3 linked regions of the Saccharomyces cerevisiae S288C genome follow. The protein of the gene in region 1 interacts with the protein of each later gene in a biochemical or structural test. Each region holds a gene or a part of one and is shown in the gene's direction. Other genes may lie near its edges.

Region 1 (6,751 bases):
AGAAGAAACTAAGCTTCTTGTCTGCGAAGACTTTTCCTTCACTTGACACATAACCATATCCTCATTTGACGGATATTTGAAAAGTGAGCCCGCAAACTCACAATGAATTGCATTATCAAGCATTTCCGTAAACGTTTCGCCCCCATCATTGGTCAGGTATGCTACCGCATGACATTCCGGACTTAAGATTGACTCACAATTCTTACCACCATAATAGATAAATGTATCCTGTGCCTTAGCGTTAAAGTCTAATGGCATACCTAACTGCCTAGCCTCGGGCAATTTAGCAGTCATAAAAGAGTATCCCCTATCATGGGTAGAGAAAATGCTACCTTTGGAACCAAACAGATAAGCTGAAGAATTGTAGTATGGATTAAACACAACTTCAATAATTGTTTCACCATTACTGTCGAACCTTTTTATTGTTTGTCCACCATCATGAGATATATAAGCTTCTCCTCTTGAATTGATCATGAGGAGGGATTCGTCGGTGACTGTGTCAAAGTATTGATAGAATTGAATCTTGAAATCAAATTTGTTTTCTGTAACCACTATTTCTTTATCATTCGTTCCCTTCTTTGGAACTCCCTCACACGAAATATCCACTGATTTGACTGTCATTGGTTTTTTACATTTATCACCTTTAACTAGTTGCAATGGTTTTACAGGCACAGTTTTTTTCTTTGTCTTATCACATACGTCAGAGAGAACGATTAGGTTGTAGTCTGGTACGCATTTCCCGGTCGCGTCCCTAACAAATTCAAACGCGCATTCGTAATCAGCCTCGGTACACTTGTCACAAGCAGTCTCAAATAATTGTAAGTCTTCAAAAACTTTCTTCACCAAGCACTGAGCGTCCTGTTTTCTTCTTCTGATCTTGTACTTGACTCCATTGACACACTTCCCCTCAGCTAAATTCCAATCCTCGAAATCATTTTCTTCGCATGTCTTATCATTAAAGGCTGTTGAAAAATCAATTGCATAGATGAAATTCGTTGTACCATCCATATGCGCCAAAGTAAACCCATTTAGAATAAATTTAGCTCCAGATCCGTCGGGCGTTGTATTCATTACTTCATTTGGGTAGATAGTAGTTTCTAGCTGATATTCGGTCCAAGTTTTACCTTGGTCTAAAGAGTAATAAAATTCGGATTGAGGATCGTCGTCTTCATCCGCATTATACGGTATAGCCACAATAACATTTCCGTAATCACCAACAGCGTATAAACAAGGAAAATCAAAGGCGAGTTTCCATGTTAAGCCACCATCCCTAGAAATAAAGGTTCTTTGATCTCCCCAGTCGAAGACACTACCATCGCCAACAATACCTGTTGTCATTAGAATTCCGGCGGTTGGAGTGGAACCCTCCCGTGTGTAAAACATATTTTGAAGCGAACAATTCTCAAAATCAGTAATATCACAGTCGAATGAGTCTGCGTTATCTGGATCAACAACTTTTAACATTGTCCATGTGAGGCCATTATCAACAGATATTTTGGTTACCCCCTTACTCTTTACTCCTTTGGCTTTTCCTTTACGGTTACGACGCCTAGATAGAGGGTAAAGTGAGGCAATCATCGTTCCTTTCAAGTAAGTAGGTTGATAAAAATTAATATAACCAAACACCTCATTTGCGGTCCATGGGATGGGGGAAAATTTTAACCCTTGTGAGTCGGAAATTAAAATTTCAGACACGATGCCCTTATCCTCCTCTTGATCACTTCTTTCCCTACTCATGGGCAAGATAATTCTTCCCATAGCGTCCTCATATATTTCTCCTTGCATAGAATGCCTTAACTGAGTAGGCATGTAAGCCATTTTAAAGTTTGACAGATCATTTGATACCCACACATCCATGGAAGACATATCATTATATCTGTCGCCCTGGGTTAAGACAACCATGTGAGATTTCAATATCCTGTAACCATTGACGACCTTATCTTTAAATTGGTCAAATTCTTTTAGTGATTTGCCCCAGTCCGTAGTTAGGACCAATTTACTTTCGGTGTAAGGAGAACTAAACTCATCCATAATAAGCTGCATATTTTGAAAAAGACAGATTATTGAGGTATCACTACTTTCAAGGTCAGAATCTTTGCTGGTCTTGGCAAAGCCACAATCAGAAATGCTGATAGGACTATTTTCGTTCCTTTCTAGAGAAGACTTGATCTCAGAAAAGGATTTTCCACCATCATTACTTGCAAAAACCTTGTCTGTGCAACGTGTAATATTAAATATTTCAAATTGTCCCTCTTCGTCCCCCGAATTCTCTTCATTGTCATTGTTTACTTCTGTTTTCTCACAATAGTTGCACTTTGCAAGAAAATAGTTCTTATTCAAGGGATGGGTTTCTATATAGCATTCACGAGGTGAAATACTTTCTCCGGAGTCAGGTAGCGTTATACGCTCCCATGACTTACCTTGATCATTGGTTATATAAAGGTACGACCCATTCATTGCCGTTGCAACGGCTCTGTCATGTCTATTGAAGGGGTCGATGTATATCCAAGTGATTTCGCCTTCAATGCCTTCAACTTTTTCCCATGTTTCACCATCGTCAAAGCTTATAGTAACGGAGGTGTCTTGTTTTCTAATTAAAGTGTTGGAATCATCAAAGCTTAATATATCAAATGAATCTTGCGCGATAGTCTTTGTCACTTTGGGGGTGAATTCTTCGGCATTAGTTAAAGGAATGAGAAGTAAGGCCCAAAGAGAATAGACAAAATGAAGTAATATCATAACGTGTGATGACTACTGGACACTTCAGGGCTTTTCCAGATATACAGAGCTTTATAATACAATCTAAGGGCAAAATAAAAAAGGAAAAAGAGTACGGTAGTTGAGAAAAAAACCGGAAAGGAATTGCTTTAAAGATCTTAGTAGAATGAAATAGTACCACCTACTCGCCTCCTTTTTTTGTGCTTCTTGAGAGGTCTTTTGAGCTGTTGCATCATGCTGTTATTTAGAGGTTATTTTTTGACCTTGGTTTTTCCTTCTTTTCGCCGTACTCAGCCCGAGAAAAAAGCAGCGACTGCACTAAACTAGAGGAAAGAAGGCTTAAAACATCACGCGATCCATATAAAGACCCGAGTAGTTGGAGAGATTGACTACTTGACGTTCAAAAGAACATACATAAGGATAAATTCGTTCGGACTTTTTAACTTACACACATCTTTTGGTGTTCATTCAAGGGGCGGTAGTGCTTGTAGTCCGCACAGGCGGATACTTTTTAGTTTGGGAAGAGTTAACTGGAGAGGGCAGTTTACTTTCACATACTCTTTTATCTTTCTGAAGTAAAATGTGATGTACCTACAAGCAATGCATAAGCTCTTGAGTTTTAGATCTGTTTCACCCTGGAACTCAAAATTCTTTTACTCGAAATTTTTACTTTTTTTTTTTTTGTTTCTGCATTCTCTCAGATTTTAGATGATGCGGTTTTTTACAGGGCATTGAAACAATTGCAGAAAAGCAACATACTAATATATCATAACTTTTTACTCTTGCCTCTCAGAAACTATATATACGTTGTAATCATTTTCTTTCTTCTAATAGCTAGTTCGTTTGAACTACAAGGAAATAAGGCAGAGAAAAAGAAAGGAAAATAATATGCCAAAGAGAATTGTATACAATATATCCAGTGACTTCCAGTTGAAGTCGTTACTGGGAGAGGGTGCATACGGTGTGGTATGTTCTGCAACGCATAAGCCCACGGGAGAAATCGTGGCAATAAAAAAGATCGAACCATTCGATAAGCCTTTGTTCGCATTACGTACGCTGCGTGAAATAAAGATCCTGAAGCACTTCAAGCACGAAAATATCATAACAATCTTCAACATTCAACGCCCTGACTCGTTCGAAAACTTCAATGAGGTCTACATAATTCAAGAGCTAATGCAGACAGATTTACACCGTGTAATCTCCACCCAGATGCTGAGTGACGATCATATACAATATTTTATATACCAAACCTTGAGAGCAGTGAAAGTGCTGCATGGTTCGAACGTCATCCATCGTGATTTAAAGCCCTCCAACCTTCTCATAAACTCCAACTGTGACTTGAAAGTATGTGATTTCGGTTTAGCAAGAATCATTGACGAGTCAGCCGCGGACAATTCAGAGCCCACAGGTCAGCAAAGCGGCATGACCGAGTATGTGGCCACACGTTGGTACAGGGCGCCAGAGGTGATGTTAACCTCTGCCAAATACTCAAGGGCCATGGACGTGTGGTCCTGCGGATGTATTCTCGCTGAACTTTTCTTAAGACGGCCAATCTTCCCTGGCAGAGATTATCGCCATCAACTACTACTGATATTCGGTATCATCGGTACACCTCACTCAGATAATGATTTGCGGTGTATAGAGTCACCCAGGGCTAGAGAGTACATAAAGTCGCTTCCCATGTACCCTGCCGCGCCACTGGAGAAGATGTTCCCTCGAGTCAACCCGAAAGGCATAGATCTTTTACAGCGTATGCTTGTTTTTGACCCTGCGAAGAGGATTACTGCTAAGGAGGCACTGGAGCATCCGTATTTGCAAACATACCACGATCCAAACGACGAACCTGAAGGCGAACCCATCCCACCCAGCTTCTTCGAGTTTGATCACTACAAGGAGGCACTAACGACGAAAGACCTCAAGAAACTCATTTGGAACGAAATATTTAGTTAGCCATCATTATCATTAAAATATCAACCCGAAGAACAATGTATACATATACATATACGTACACATATACATATGTACATATGACATACGTATTAGCCGCTGAGGACGCGGACGTATAAAAGGACAATACTTATATGGAGCTAAGGGGAGCAGTTACGCAACTCCGTGATCGCGCGCCACGGGCCGTCGGCGGCTGTTAATTGAAGAAAAAAAAAATGAAGAACCACAAGGGGTGATCCATATAGGTGACTAGCATCATCCCCTGCGACGCGCGGCCCGCCGGGCCAAAGGCGGGCAATGCGCGCTGCTGATTGGCCTCGAGGACAACGCCCTCAACCACATCCGCAACAGCCAATCCCATCGGAGCGTCAAACTACCAAAGTAGTGATTGTATGGATGACCACTGTATTGTGGACGGTAAGCGCTTGCTGGAGCAAATGTGTAATCAAGTTGCTGTGTATATATAGACGTTAGATGTGTTCTACCCCTTCTTTTGTCTTGTGCCCACCGGGCTTACATTAGCACACAAAGCAGCAAGAGACCGTCTTACTAGACAATAGCGGCAAAACAAACAACACATTTCTTTTTTTCTTTTTCACATATTGCACTAAAATGACAATTTCTAATTTGTTAAAGCAGAGAGTTAGGTATGCTCCCTATCTGAAAAAAGTTAAGGAAGCTCACGAGCTTATTCCATTGTTCAAGAATGGTCAGTACCTTGGGTGGTCCGGTTTTACAGGAGTGGGTACTCCCAAGGCAGTGCCGGAGGCACTGATAGATCACGTGGAGAAGAACAATTTACAAGGGAAGTTGAGATTCAACCTTTTTGTTGGAGCTTCTGCTGGTCCAGAGGAAAACCGTTGGGCTGAACACGACATGATCATTAAGAGAGCCCCTCATCAAGTAGGGAAACCCATTGCAAAGGCAATTAACCAGGGTAGAATTGAGTTCTTTGATAAACATCTGTCCATGTTCCCTCAGGATCTGACATACGGGTTCTACACCAGGGAAAGAAAAGACAACAAAATCCTTGATTATACTATAATCGAGGCAACGGCCATTAAAGAGGACGGGTCTATCGTCCCAGGTCCCTCTGTCGGTGGTTCTCCAGAATTCATTACAGTCAGTGATAAAGTGATTATTGAGGTTAACACGGCTACGCCTTCGTTCGAGGGTATTCACGATATAGACATGCCCGTGAACCCACCTTTCAGGAAACCATACCCATATCTGAAAGTGGACGACAAGTGTGGTGTTGACTCCATCCCGGTTGATCCTGAAAAGGTTGTTGCGATTGTGGAGTCCACCATGAGGGACCAGGTCCCACCAAATACGCCCTCTGACGACATGTCCAGGGCTATTGCAGGTCATTTGGTCGAGTTTTTCAGAAACGAGGTAAAACATGGTAGGCTACCTGAAAACCTGCTGCCTTTACAAAGTGGTATAGGTAACATTGCTAACGCTGTCATTGAAGGGCTTGCTGGCGCCCAATTCAAGCACTTGACTGTATGGACGGAAGTGCTGCAGGACTCGTTCTTGGATCTTTTCGAGAACGGATCTTTGGACTACGCCACTGCTACTTCCGTGAGATTGACTGAAAAGGGTTTCGACAGAGCCTTTGCAAACTGGGAAAATTTCAAACACAGATTGTGTTTGAGATCTCAAGTTGTCTCGAACAATCCGGAAATGATCCGTAGATTGGGTGTCATCGCCATGAATACCCCAGTAGAAGTTGACATTTACGCGCACGCCAATTCTACAAATGTGAATGGTTCCCGTATGTTGAACGGGTTGGGTGGATCTGCTGATTTCTTGAGAAATGCAAAGTTGTCCATCATGCATGCCCCCTCTGCAAGACCAACTAAAGTAGACCCTACCGGTATCTCTACCATTGTTCCTATGGCCTCTCATGTAGATCAAACTGAGCATGACCTGGACATCTTGGTCACTGACCAAGGTTTGGCGGATCTAAGAGGTCTATCGCCTAAGGAAAGAGCCCGTGAAATCATCAACAAGTGTGCTCATCCCGATTATCAAGCTTTGTTGACCGATTACTTGGACAGAGCAGAGCATTACGCTAAAAAGC
Region 2 (6,722 bases), on another chromosome or scaffold:
TCGGCAACAATACCTTCGTTTTGGCCTGCCAGGAATCTTCTAATCCTTCTTACACGAGAACCAGGAACAACGCCACAGTTATAAGATCTGGCAATAGTATCCACTATAGTTCTAATCAATTGGCCTGTGATACCACTTGAAGTTCCTCCCAGTGAGGCAGGAAGCTTTTCTGGAGTCAGAGCACAGGCTAATAAAGCAACAACTGTTTCCATAGCAATGTGAGCAGCAGCTACAGCATCCGCTTTACCACCTAGTAGTGGCCCAGTGGGTTGAAGAATAGGTTTGGTTTCATCAACGGGGTAAATAACCATAGTATGAGAAACTTCAGAGGTGTAACCATCAATATGAACACCTAGTGTAATCTTGACTAAATCCCCCGGTCTCAAAGTCCCAGTGACAGATGATGCAAAAGTGGAGTCTTTCCCCTTATTCCAGTTTAACAAATTTTGAGTATCATCTATTTCGGGGCACCATCCACCAGAAATTTGGTCGATATCAATAGTGGTTGGAATGGCAATACCTCTTTCATTAACTTTGTTTTTATAATATTGTTCCAACCGGGTCAAAATAAAAGAATCGGTAAGCAAACATAGCTCTGGCACGGTTAATTGGCGCTGTGTGGTCTTAGAGTGATATGAATCATTGATCAAAGAAGTAACATATTTCAAAGCAGTTTGTGCGATTTGTCCAGCAGTTCTGTATTTGTTCAAGACCGATTCCTGTAGAATATTTTTGTCCTTTAGCAAAATCTGAGTATCCTCGTGGGAGATAGCTAGAGCCATGATAGTTTTAGCAATATTAGTCGGGTCGGGTTTTTTCTTAAAAGTATTTTGAATAACACGATGCTTTAGCTCATCTCATCTCTTCTGCTGAAATTTTTCTTTACTTCGGTAAAATTTTTTCAGAAAGCAAAAAAAGCTTCACAGAGGCATGACCCTCTCCGGGTAAAAAAAAGCTTAGGGTTACCGGCCTGTCATTTTTAGGGCATTATCAATTTTTTGCCATCTAGTTGCAACTATAATAATACAGTATGAATTGCACGAAAGAGCAGTCAATGTAAATTCACGAAGTGACTGACAGAATACTGACATCAGCTGATTTCTCATAGAGCTGTTTCTCTGATAACACGTTGTTTGAACATCGACAAGATGAAAATCTAGAAGTATCAAGTTTCCTTTAAAGGGATATATAACAGATTCTAAAACTGACAGAAATATTTCGAGTGAAGAAGAAGCGTTAAATATTGGATCTTTCCGCAGTTCTACTCTGATACATTTTTGAAGTAGGAGAGTCATTTAGAAGGCGTATTGCTCAATAGTAGAAAGCAGGCCTGTGCACATGAATTAATTAAAAAATATAAAGGTAGTGATTAGACGACACATGTCCATAGGTAACCTGTCATAATTTTGAACAATTTCCCTTCTTTTCTTTTTTTTTTTTGGGTGCGGCGATATGTAGCTTGTTAATTTACACATCATGTACTTTTCTGCATCAAAATATGAAAGGCGATAGTAGCTAAAGAAAATACCGAGAATTTCCTCGAAAAGTTGACGACAAAAGAAAGGCATAAAAAAGTAATTTGAAAATATTTTAAAACTGTTTTAACCCATCTAGCATCCGCGCTAAAAAAGGAAGATACAGGATACAGCGGAAACAACTTTTAAATGATGGAAACTCCTACAGACAATATAGTTTCCCCTTTTCACAATTTTGGTAGCTCGACACAATATAGTGGTACCTTGTCGAGAACTCCCAACCAAATAATAGAGCTAGAGAAGCCCAGTACTCTATCCCCATTGTCAAGAGGAAAAAAATGGACGGAAAAGTTAGCCAGGTTCCAAAGAAGTAGTGCTAAAAAGAAAAGATTCTCACCTTCTCCTATTTCCTCCTCTACATTTTCGTTCTCACCCAAATCTAGGGTCACTTCTTCAAACTCTTCTGGCAATGAAGACGGTAACCTAATGAATACACCTTCTACGGTTTCCACTGATTATTTGCCACAACACCCTCACAGAACATCGTCTTTGCCAAGACCTAATTCCAATCTCTTTCACGCAAGTAATAGTAACCTATCCCGAGCAAATGAGCCCCCAAGGGCCGAAAATTTATCAGATAATATACCACCCAAGGTCGCTCCATTTGGCTATCCAATACAAAGAACCTCTATTAAAAAATCCTTTTTGAATGCTTCTTGTACGTTATGTGACGAGCCTATTTCTAACAGAAGAAAGGGAGAGAAAATTATAGAGCTTGCATGTGGCCACTTAAGTCACCAAGAATGTCTTATTATCTCTTTTGGCACCACTTCAAAGGCAGACGTTCGTGCGCTATTTCCTTTTTGTACCAAATGTAAAAAAGATACTAACAAAGCCGTTCAATGCATTCCAGAAAATGATGAACTAAAGGATATTCTAATTTCTGATTTTTTGATTCATAAGATTCCTGATTCTGAGTTATCAATCACACCTCAGTCCCGCTTTCCTCCTTATTCACCACTCTTGCCTCCTTTTGGGTTATCCTATACACCTGTTGAAAGACAAACGATATATTCTCAAGCTCCAAGTCTAAACCCAAATCTCATATTGGCTGCACCCCCCAAGGAAAGAAACCAAATTCCACAAAAAAAATCAAACTATACATTTTTACATTCACCCCTGGGGCACAGAAGAATTCCGTCCGGAGCAAACTCTATCTTAGCAGACACCTCTGTAGCGTTGTCAGCTAATGATTCTATTTCTGCTGTTTCCAATTCGGTAAGAGCAAAGGATGACGAAACCAAAACAACGTTGCCGCTGTTAAGGTCATATTTTATTCAAATTCTTTTGAACAATTTCCAGGAAGAATTGCAGGATTGGAGAATAGACGGGGACTATGGATTACTAAGGTTGGTAGACAAATTGATGATTTCCAAAGATGGTCAGAGATATATACAATGCTGGTGTTTCTTATTTGAAGACGCATTTGTAATAGCAGAAGTGGATAACGATGTTGATGTTTTGGAAATTAGACTAAAGAATTTAGAAGTATTTACACCTATTGCCAACTTGAGAATGACTACACTCGAAGCTTCAGTACTCAAATGCACCTTAAATAAACAACATTGCGCCGATTTATCAGATCTTTACATTGTTCAGAATATAAATTCTGACGAAAGCACAACTGTACAGAAATGGATATCAGGTATATTGAATCAGGATTTTGTATTCAATGAGGACAATATCACTTCGACCCTGCCTATTCTTCCCATTATAAAGAACTTTTCAAAAGATGTTGGTAATGGTAGGCACGAGACGAGTACCTTTCTAGGTTTAATCAATCCTAACAAAGTTGTTGAAGTTGGAAATGTGCACGATAATGATACTGTAATCATAAGGAGGGGATTCACCTTAAATTCAGGAGAATGTTCTAGGCAGAGTACTGTCGACAGTATACAATCTGTTCTAACCACGATAAGCTCAATTCTTTCCCTTAAACGAGAAAAACCTGATAATTTGGCAATAATCTTACAGATCGATTTTACGAAATTGAAGGAAGAAGACAGTTTAATTGTTGTTTATAACAGTCTAAAAGCTTTAACCATTAAATTTGCGCGTTTGCAGTTTTGTTTCGTTGATCGAAATAATTATGTTCTGGACTATGGATCGGTATTACACAAGATAGATTCACTAGATTCCATCTCAAATCTCAAATCAAAGAGTTCCTCGACACAATTTTCACCTATTTGGTTGAAAAATACTCTATATCCCGAAAATATTCATGAACATTTGGGTATTGTTGCTGTATCAAATAGTAATATGGAAGCAAAAAAATCCATACTATTTCAAGATTACAGATGCTTTACAAGTTTTGGAAGAAGAAGGCCCAATGAATTGAAGATTAAGGTGGGCTATTTGAACGTTGACTACAGTGATAAAATTGATGAACTAGTCGAGGCCAGCTCCTGGACTTTTGTTTTAGAAACTCTTTGCTACAGTTTCGGTCTAAGTTTTGATGAACATGATGACGATGACGAAGAGGATAATGATGATTCGACCGATAATGAACTTGATAATAGTTCAGGATCACTGTCGGATGCTGAATCTACAACTACTATTCATATTGATTCTCCATTTGATAATGAAAATGCTACCGCAAATATGGTGAATGACAGAAACCTTCTCACTGAGGGTGAACATAGCAATATAGAAAACTTAGAAACTGTCGCTTCTTCAGTACAGCCAGCTCTGATTCCTAATATTAGATTTTCACTTCATTCTGAGGAGGAAGGTACTAATGAAAATGAAAATGAAAATGATATGCCAGTATTATTACTTAGTGATATGGATAAAGGAATCGATGGCATAACCAGACGCAGTTCATTCTCGAGTCTTATAGAGAGCGGTAATAACAACTGTCCCCTCCATATGGATTATATATAGAGTATACACTAAATTTTATGCAATAATAAAAAGAAAGCATCCCGCCAAACGTTTCGTAACTACATATTGTTACATAGTTTGATTCCGTGAATTTGAAGTGGACGCAGTTCTTCTTAGTCTTTCAAGTTCATAGTAAATAGACATTACCCAAAGATCTCTTTCCTGTCTTGATCTTGCCATGAAAACCATTGACTTGCCGCTCACACCTAACTTTTTAGTGAAATGGATCTTATCTGTGTTACTTGGAACATTAGAGTTATTCAAGTCAGCTTCCGGAGCAGAAGGTGGGTCAATATTATTATCTTGTCTACCATAATCTTGCGTATATTGCTTTTCATTCCCTTTCTTCTGTAAGCGATTGCTAGAAAGGGCACGCCTTGTTCCAAACCAAAGCGTAAAGCATCGCGAACTCTCGTCTTCTACAGATCGCCATCCGTCCCCATAAACTCGTGGGAGAGCGTGGGATCCATAGTTTATTTCGTCAAAAGTACGATCTCTCTGCAGAAGGTCTAGTTCTGTTGTGGTCCCAGAGTATAGGTAGCAATCGTCAATCGGAATGGTTACATAATGAGCATACTCCAAAACTTCCTTAGCAAAACCTGTGGTTGATCTATGAAAGCAGTGGAACAGTACAATAAAACCTGATATCAAAACGACGTAGTACTTCGAGAAAACAGAATGCTTGTGCGGCTTTTGATATAAAGGTCCCTTTTGAATTAACGGCCTACTTAATGATATTCCATTTGCATTAAAGGTTTGCTCATCTGCACGCCCATGTTCTACGATCCAGCGCAATGTATTCTCACCAATTTTTGTTTCCTCTTCTCCATTTAGCATCAAAAGACCTGCATTTGAACGCCTTATTTTTAAAAGCCTCTCCGTATCTTCCCTTTGCTTGTTTTTCCAATAGGATATCATTTGTTTCAGCTTTATGACCCACTCTTCAGCAACTGTTGCTGATGTAGCAAGCAGCTTCAAGAGGAGTCCATTTGAGGTTTCTATATTTATTACGGACCGTGAAACATCATCAATCTCGTAGTTTCTATGCCAAAAGATTTCACTAGCTTCCTTGTAAACCCCATATTTTATTTTGTCTGCTTCGTAATCAGTCCTTGTTCCTTGATATATATCTTTCACCTCAGTTAGGTCAATCACATTGTCCGTTTTTAGTATTTGATCAATCCTTCTATGAAAACAATGGAAAGCATAGAAATCTCTGGAATCATATTCACTTTGGGTCGTTTGACAGTTCATCCACTCGATGTGATCATTTGTGTCTAAGGGATAAGGTTGTTGCTCGTAAACCTCTGGAATTTTCTTCCACTGTTTCCAAATTTCTTCTTTTTCTATTTCTGTGCTAGTGTCGTCAATCATCGAATCTATAGGCAATGGTGGGTTTGCTCTATATGCTTTCATCGAAAAAAGCAAATTCTCACACGTGAAGAAGTAAGCTGTTGAAATACTATATTTACCAAAATTTGTCCTCGCAGAGCCATACTTGTCAGTCAATCTTATTAAAAAACCTTCAATAGGTGTTGGTTCTTTCAGACATTTTCCTTCTAAAGATTTTGTTTCCCTTAAACGATTCGCAATTGGCCTGTACTGGATTAGGTGAGATTGACAAAATGCAAAAATTCCAGTTACCAGAGAATCTTCATCACATGGAATCCACTCCAATCTATCATATCTTTTCAGGGCACATCCTAGTACAGGATTTTCTGTATCCCATTTTCTAATCAGATAGTCATAATGCGCCAATTTTAATTTCTCCAAAATAGCAACTGTGAAATATCGTAAAATGGGATGCTGGAAAATTTTATAACCTCTTTGAAGAAAACATATTTTTAATCTATCTTTTTCCTGCTTCCCTAAATCTATTAGCTTTTGGAATATAATTTCATTCAAGTTTATTTTTATCGAGATCTCAGTTAATGGAATTTTCAAGTTGATGGCAGGTGTAAATAGTTGTCGGTCCAAAGATTCTAGTAGAAATTTGTACCATCTACCAGACGAACGAATACTGCTGCATCTTAAGATAAAAATTTTAATGGGGGAATAGTGTTTTAATTCGTCCTTCTTTTCAATACTCTCGTCTATAAACCCACCTAACCGCTTATCAGGCTTTTGTATGGATATAGTTTTGTCTAGAGAGCTGTAGAATTTTACAATACAATTTCTTGAAAGAAAAAAATCCAACGGGTTGCGGTGATACTTTGTAGCTATGGAACTGATATCTTCGATTTCTGGGATATGACGATGACGATAGAACTGTAAAAGTATCGGGGGATCGAATCTTCCCGTGGA
Region 3 (5,203 bases), on another chromosome or scaffold:
ACGCAACTGTTGGTCCACATTCGCCTTCTATATGAGCCCCTTTGTCCATCAAGATTGAGGTCATAGACCCATTTTGTTTCTGAATCTATCTCGACATACTGAATAAATTCGTCCTCTACCCATTCTTTTGGATCCAAATCAAGCACCCAATGAGAATTGGCTTCCCATTCCCAATCCTTAGGTGGCTCAATTTCTTCTAATGACTTCACTGAATTTTCCTCAATACGCCTCTGGTATATTCTCAAACTAGAGAAAAGAGAATAATCGTCATCAGAGAATCCAACTGGGCGCCATTCTTTGTATTCAGGAAGATACTTTTGGATCTCAAAGATCATAACAAGTCGGTGCTCCCTAGCCTCAATGAGTTTCAAATGCTGCAAAATCTTAGATTCCAGATTAGTACTTATAGTCAAAGTTTTTAATCTTGTCTCCTCCGAATTCAATTTAGTCAACAAATATTCACGATTGGACGGATGCGAGGCAATAAAAAAACCCCAACCTAGCAGTATCAGTACGGGTCTCATTGGAATGAGCTTGATAAATTTATCCATGTACAGAAAATTTAATGTTGCTATTATTAACAATACAATAAAATAAAACGACGAAATAGCCTCGTTGGTGAAGAATGCAAACTTTTGTAATATGAGTAAAGTAAAATCGTAGAATTTAACATATAGCAGCATATGGTTTTGTAAATCCGTGAGGTTTAAGACAAATTCTTGGCTCAGTTCAGGGACTGGTTTAGGAACCTCAGGTCTTCGCAAAGGTGGGCCTTGTGCTGGTGTTTGATTATTATCTAGATAGCTTGTAGGGTTTGGCTTATGAATGTAAAGGTATTGCGGGACCATTACGCAGAATAACAAATAGAATATAGGGAGCGAAGAAAGCATTTGAAAAGGTTTCAATATAATGAGCGTGTATAAGAACATGATAGATACTGTATACGCTGGGTTAGTCCAGTTTAATATCTTTATTAATTCATCCATAATCATGAATGGTACCCCTAGTCTCGAGTTCATCTGTATAAAATTCCTACTCGTGATCTGCACAGACAGCTTAGGCCTTTCTTTACCAGCAACCATACGATGGTGAATTGTATCAACAGCCGTTTTGGAAGATGGTGGTAATGCCATTTTGATTATCTTCTCTACCAGGGTATCTGCCATCATCTTTTGGATGTTTGATGTCGAGGGAAAACCGCCACCACTAGTTGGCTGTCCACTGGAAGATGGCAGACTACCACGTGTAGGATCACTAGTTCTAGAACCACTAGATATGCTCTCTTTCTTTGCCTGACTTTTTCCATCTATGCCATTTTGCACTTTCTTCCCCTTGAGAGTTGATCTAGTTGGAGTACCAGCATTATAGGTGTCATTCCAGAAAAAATTTGTCACCGAGTCCATCTAGACGTATATACAGTAGGAGACTGAAATTTTGCTACGTATACAGGTGAGTATATTCATGCGGCCTGATCAGTAATTAAAAATACACACTATTCCTCGTTGTTATTTCTTAAAATTAGTTCAAGAAGAAGGGGTAACCCCTAAGCTTCTTAAGTTCACCACAAAAGTATTACTGGATAGTGAAACAACAACCACCCATAACATTAGTTTCCTAAACACTACGGCGGTATTCACCTAGACGCCATCCTAGAAGGCTACAAAGTGATGCACGTATGATGATATCGGACATTAGAGCGTATACATACAACAGGTACACATAAAATTGTGATATGTCACAGCTTCATCACCCGGCGGACACGTCTATTAAATTATCAATAATTACATAATGTGCAGATCAAATAAACAATAAACATACAGCCATTTAAATTTTGGTTATTAATGTTATTTTTCATTTCTATTGCTTGCAGTGGTATTTATGTGGTATAGTTAAGCCTGCAGGAATATTTAAGCAAAGAGGGAAAATTATGAATAAAGAAGAGCAAGAAGACCCACAGCAAGAGCAAATATCAACTGTTCAGGAAAATGATCCCAGGAATTTGCAGCAACTGGGAATGCTGTTAGTATCTCCAGGGCTTGATGAAGACAGATTGAGTGAGAAAATGATTTCGAAGATCAAAAAATCCAGGGATATCGAAAAAAATCAAAAATTGCTCATATCTAGGCTGTCGCAAAAAGAGGAAGATCATAGTGGTAAGCCTCCTACCATTACGACTTCTCCAGCAGAGAAAACCGTACCCTTTAAGTCGCTGAATCATTCTTTAAAGAGGAAAAGGGTACCTCCAGCGCTAAATTTTTCCGATATACAAGCATCTTCTCATTTGCATGGATCTAAAAGTGCTCCACCAAACATAACAAGATTTCCGCAGCACAAAAATAGCCTTAGGGTCAGATATATGGGTAGGATGGCTCCTACGAATCAAGATTATCATCCTTCAGTGGCCAATTCATATATGACAGCAACCTACCCTTATCCATATACTGGACTGCCACCAGTACCATGCTACCCATATTCTTCAACTCCAACACAAACGCACGCATACGAAGGCTATTATTCCCCGATGTATCCCGGCCCCTTGTATAATAATGGTATAATACCAGCCGACTACCATGCAAAGAGGAAGAAGTTGGCTGGTAGATCACCACACTTGGAAGATTTGACATCGAGAAAAAGAACCTTTGTCTCCAAACACCACAACGGAGACCCAATCATAAGTAAGACTGATGAAGACATTGAATGCTCTGTCACGAAAAATTCATTAAGTGAGGGCGCTTCACTTAACGACGATGCCGATGATGACAACGACAAAGAAAGGATCATTATTGGAGAAATCTCTCTGTATGATGATGTTTTCAAATTTGAAGTTCGCGACGACAAAAATGACTATATGAAAGCATGTGAAACAATCTGGACTGAATGGCATAACTTGAAGAAATGACGAGATTTCACTTCTTCACGCTATAGAATGCACCTAAAACTCGCCTGCACTCCGAAACGAAATGCGATACAGTACGTGTCATGCGGTTAGTATATATACATATATATATATATATATATATTCAAATAAATTATAACGTATTAAATAATATGTGAAAAAAGAGGGAGAGTTAGATAGGATCAGTTGGTCAACTCATGGTAGTATTCGTCATAATGTTGTACTTCACTAGCTATTTCTGTAGCATCAAAATCTGATGTGTGTTTGGTGTCCCTAATCAAATCAGTGACTTCGTTCAGGTTCAATTCTAAAAAGTTTTCTAAGAACTGGCCAACTTCCGTATTTTCGTGATTGCCTTGTAAATTGTTCAAGACATATGACCATGTAGCTTTCTTATTGGCGTATGCATATATGTTGACGTCGACTGCGCTGTGACCATGCGTGGTCCAGCCAATTTGGGCCCTAAATGATACCATGTCATTCAGTTTGTCTTGGATAGCATTTGCGTTGTCATCCAAATGAATTAATGTTTCTAAATCGCTATCCGTGTAATCGTAAATACCCAAATCTTTTTCCAGGATCTCATGTTTGATGAAATTTTCTATTTTGCTGCTTGCGCCCTTATGCTCATGAACAAAATCTACTAGTTTTCTTTTCAAAAACTCACCTGAATGGGTGGCGTTGGCGAGCACCTGTGGATACCAGACATACTGAGGATAGCTAGCAGTGACTTGTCTTGAAGTGACTAAACCACCCGTTTCATGATCCGACGTAGAGACCAAAACAGTCTCCGTATCGGAATTTTCAGCAAACTCCAAAACGTATTGGAATGCTTCATCGAAAGCCAACACCTCCCTTACCTGCGAAGCTGGATCGTTTTGGTGACCAGCATGATCAATTCTGGAGCCTTCCACCATTAAGAAAAACCCATTAGAATCTTTGTCCTCATTGGAAGCTTTTTCCAAGGCACCCAAAGCCACCTTGACTTGTTCCTTAAGGGAAGGATACTCCTTTTCATCTCTGTCAATTTCAAAAGGAATGTCGTTATCTGCAAAGAGACCCAAGAAAGGTAAAGTAACGTTTTCACCGTGGCTTTTCAACAAAGAATCAAAATTTTTACGGTCACCCACGTACTGCCAGCCATTAGATTGAGCCTCATCGATTAAATCTCTTCCATCTTTTCTAGCACCGTGGTGACCATATGGAGAAGCCTTTTCGCCTTGAGGGTAGAAATGGCTCCTGCCGCCACCCATGAGTAAGTCTACTACTCTCCCCAGAGGATATTCGCCTAACTGGTGCGTAGCGATAAGATCTTCCTGCCATCTGTAATCAACATGTGAACTGAATGAAGCCGGAGTGGCATCTGTGATTCTTGTCGTAACAACAAGCCCAGTGAGATAACCTGCTAACTTAGCCGCCTCGAGCACTGTACCACAAGGTCTGTGATGCGGATCAACACCGATGGCCCCATTATAGCTCTTTAATGCACATGCAAATGCGGTGGCGCCCGCAGCTGAGTCAGTGACTAGTGAGTCCGAGGACCTTGTTCTCGAAGACCCGATAAAATGCTCGTCAAGTGTCAGGATGTCGTCTATAGGTAAATCATTAACATGCTGGTTGAATGATCTTGCCATGGACAAAGACGCAGGTCCCATCCCATCCGTCACGAAGAATATGACATTCTTCTTCTTGTGTGATGCAGAACGTAATGCAAAACTGCTTGGAAATGCCAGTTGCACTAAAACCAGCAACAAACCAATACAGACCACAGTGGATACTATTATCTTTGATCTCTTCGAGATCCGTCTCTTTTTAGGACGAGAGCTCGAGTCAGATCCAGGAACAAGACGTGTCTGTTCGCTTGGTAATGTGTGAGTCATCATGCTGCTAATGCGCGTTCAAATAATGTCCCGTATGCTGATATGTAAATGTTTATGTAGCCACTTGCTGGCAAAATGTGGAGCACGAAAAAATATAAACGTTTAGATACACTTCTTTCTTTATATACTAAAATCCCTTTACTTTTCCTCTACGCGCGAAGCTTATCGCTATCGTCAATGCTGCTATTCATGTCGATGCTGCTCTTCCGTTAGACGCGCCTTACGAGGGGTGTACAAAGAGGACATCCGCTGCTGTTCTTGCCACTCGTTCGTCAGTTTTGCCCTCAACGCTTCACATTTCTTGTCAATCTGCTCTTCCGAGAGCGTTTCTTCCTCCTCCAGTCGGTCCCGTAGCTCGCTAACTTGTACTTCAATCTCACGTTTCTCCATATGAGTCTCTATCTGTTTCTGCACAGCAAGAGGCCTG

What was found. The genes of interacting proteins can lie anywhere in the genome.
Region 2: the proteins of FUS3 (region 1) and STE5 form a complex in vitro, tested with the Saccharomyces cerevisiae proteins (6 studies listed by BioGRID, with this or other methods).
Region 3: the proteins of FUS3 (region 1) and DIG2 form a complex in vitro, tested with the Saccharomyces cerevisiae proteins (6 studies listed by BioGRID, with this or other methods).

What each region holds. Positions count from the first base shown.
Region 1 is NC_001134.8:188,845-195,595, forward strand, and holds FUS3 (mitogen-activated serine/threonine-protein kinase FUS3), read left to right. Parts: upstream 1-3,606; coding exon 3,607-4,668; downstream 4,669-6,751. Other genes in the region: PEP1 (type I sorting receptor), read right to left, coding at 1-2,739; ACH1 (acetyl-CoA hydrolase), read left to right, coding at 5,278-6,751. UniProt on the Saccharomyces cerevisiae protein: Together with closely related KSS1, FUS3 is the final kinase in the signal transduction cascade regulating activation/repression of the mating and filamentation pathways, induced by pheromone and nitrogen/carbon limitation, respectively.
Region 2 is NC_001136.10:656,686-663,407, forward strand, and holds STE5 (Ste5p), read left to right. Parts: upstream 1-1,664; coding exon 1,665-4,418; downstream 4,419-6,722. Other genes in the region: ARX1 (putative hydrolase), read right to left, coding at 1-782; YDR102C (uncharacterized protein), read right to left, coding at 963-1,295; SPO71 (Spo71p), read right to left, coding at 4,488-6,722. UniProt on the Saccharomyces cerevisiae protein: Component of the pheromone signal transduction pathway. It mediates pheromone signals acting between STE20 and STE11. It is absolutely required for pheromone-induced transcription of FUS1. May play a role in cell-cycle arrest in response to pheromone.
Region 3 is NC_001136.10:1,415,472-1,420,674, forward strand, and holds DIG2 (Dig2p), read left to right. Parts: upstream 1-1,927; coding exon 1,928-2,899; downstream 2,900-5,203. Other genes in the region: PEX29 (Pex29p), read right to left, coding at 1-1,403; alkaline phosphatase PHO8, read right to left, coding at 3,079-4,779; U2-type spliceosomal complex subunit CWC21, read right to left, coding at 4,960-5,203. UniProt on the Saccharomyces cerevisiae protein: DIG2 and DIG1 are negative regulators of the filamentation and pheromone induced mating program. DIG1 and DIG2 inhibit the transcriptional activity of STE12 by direct protein-protein interaction.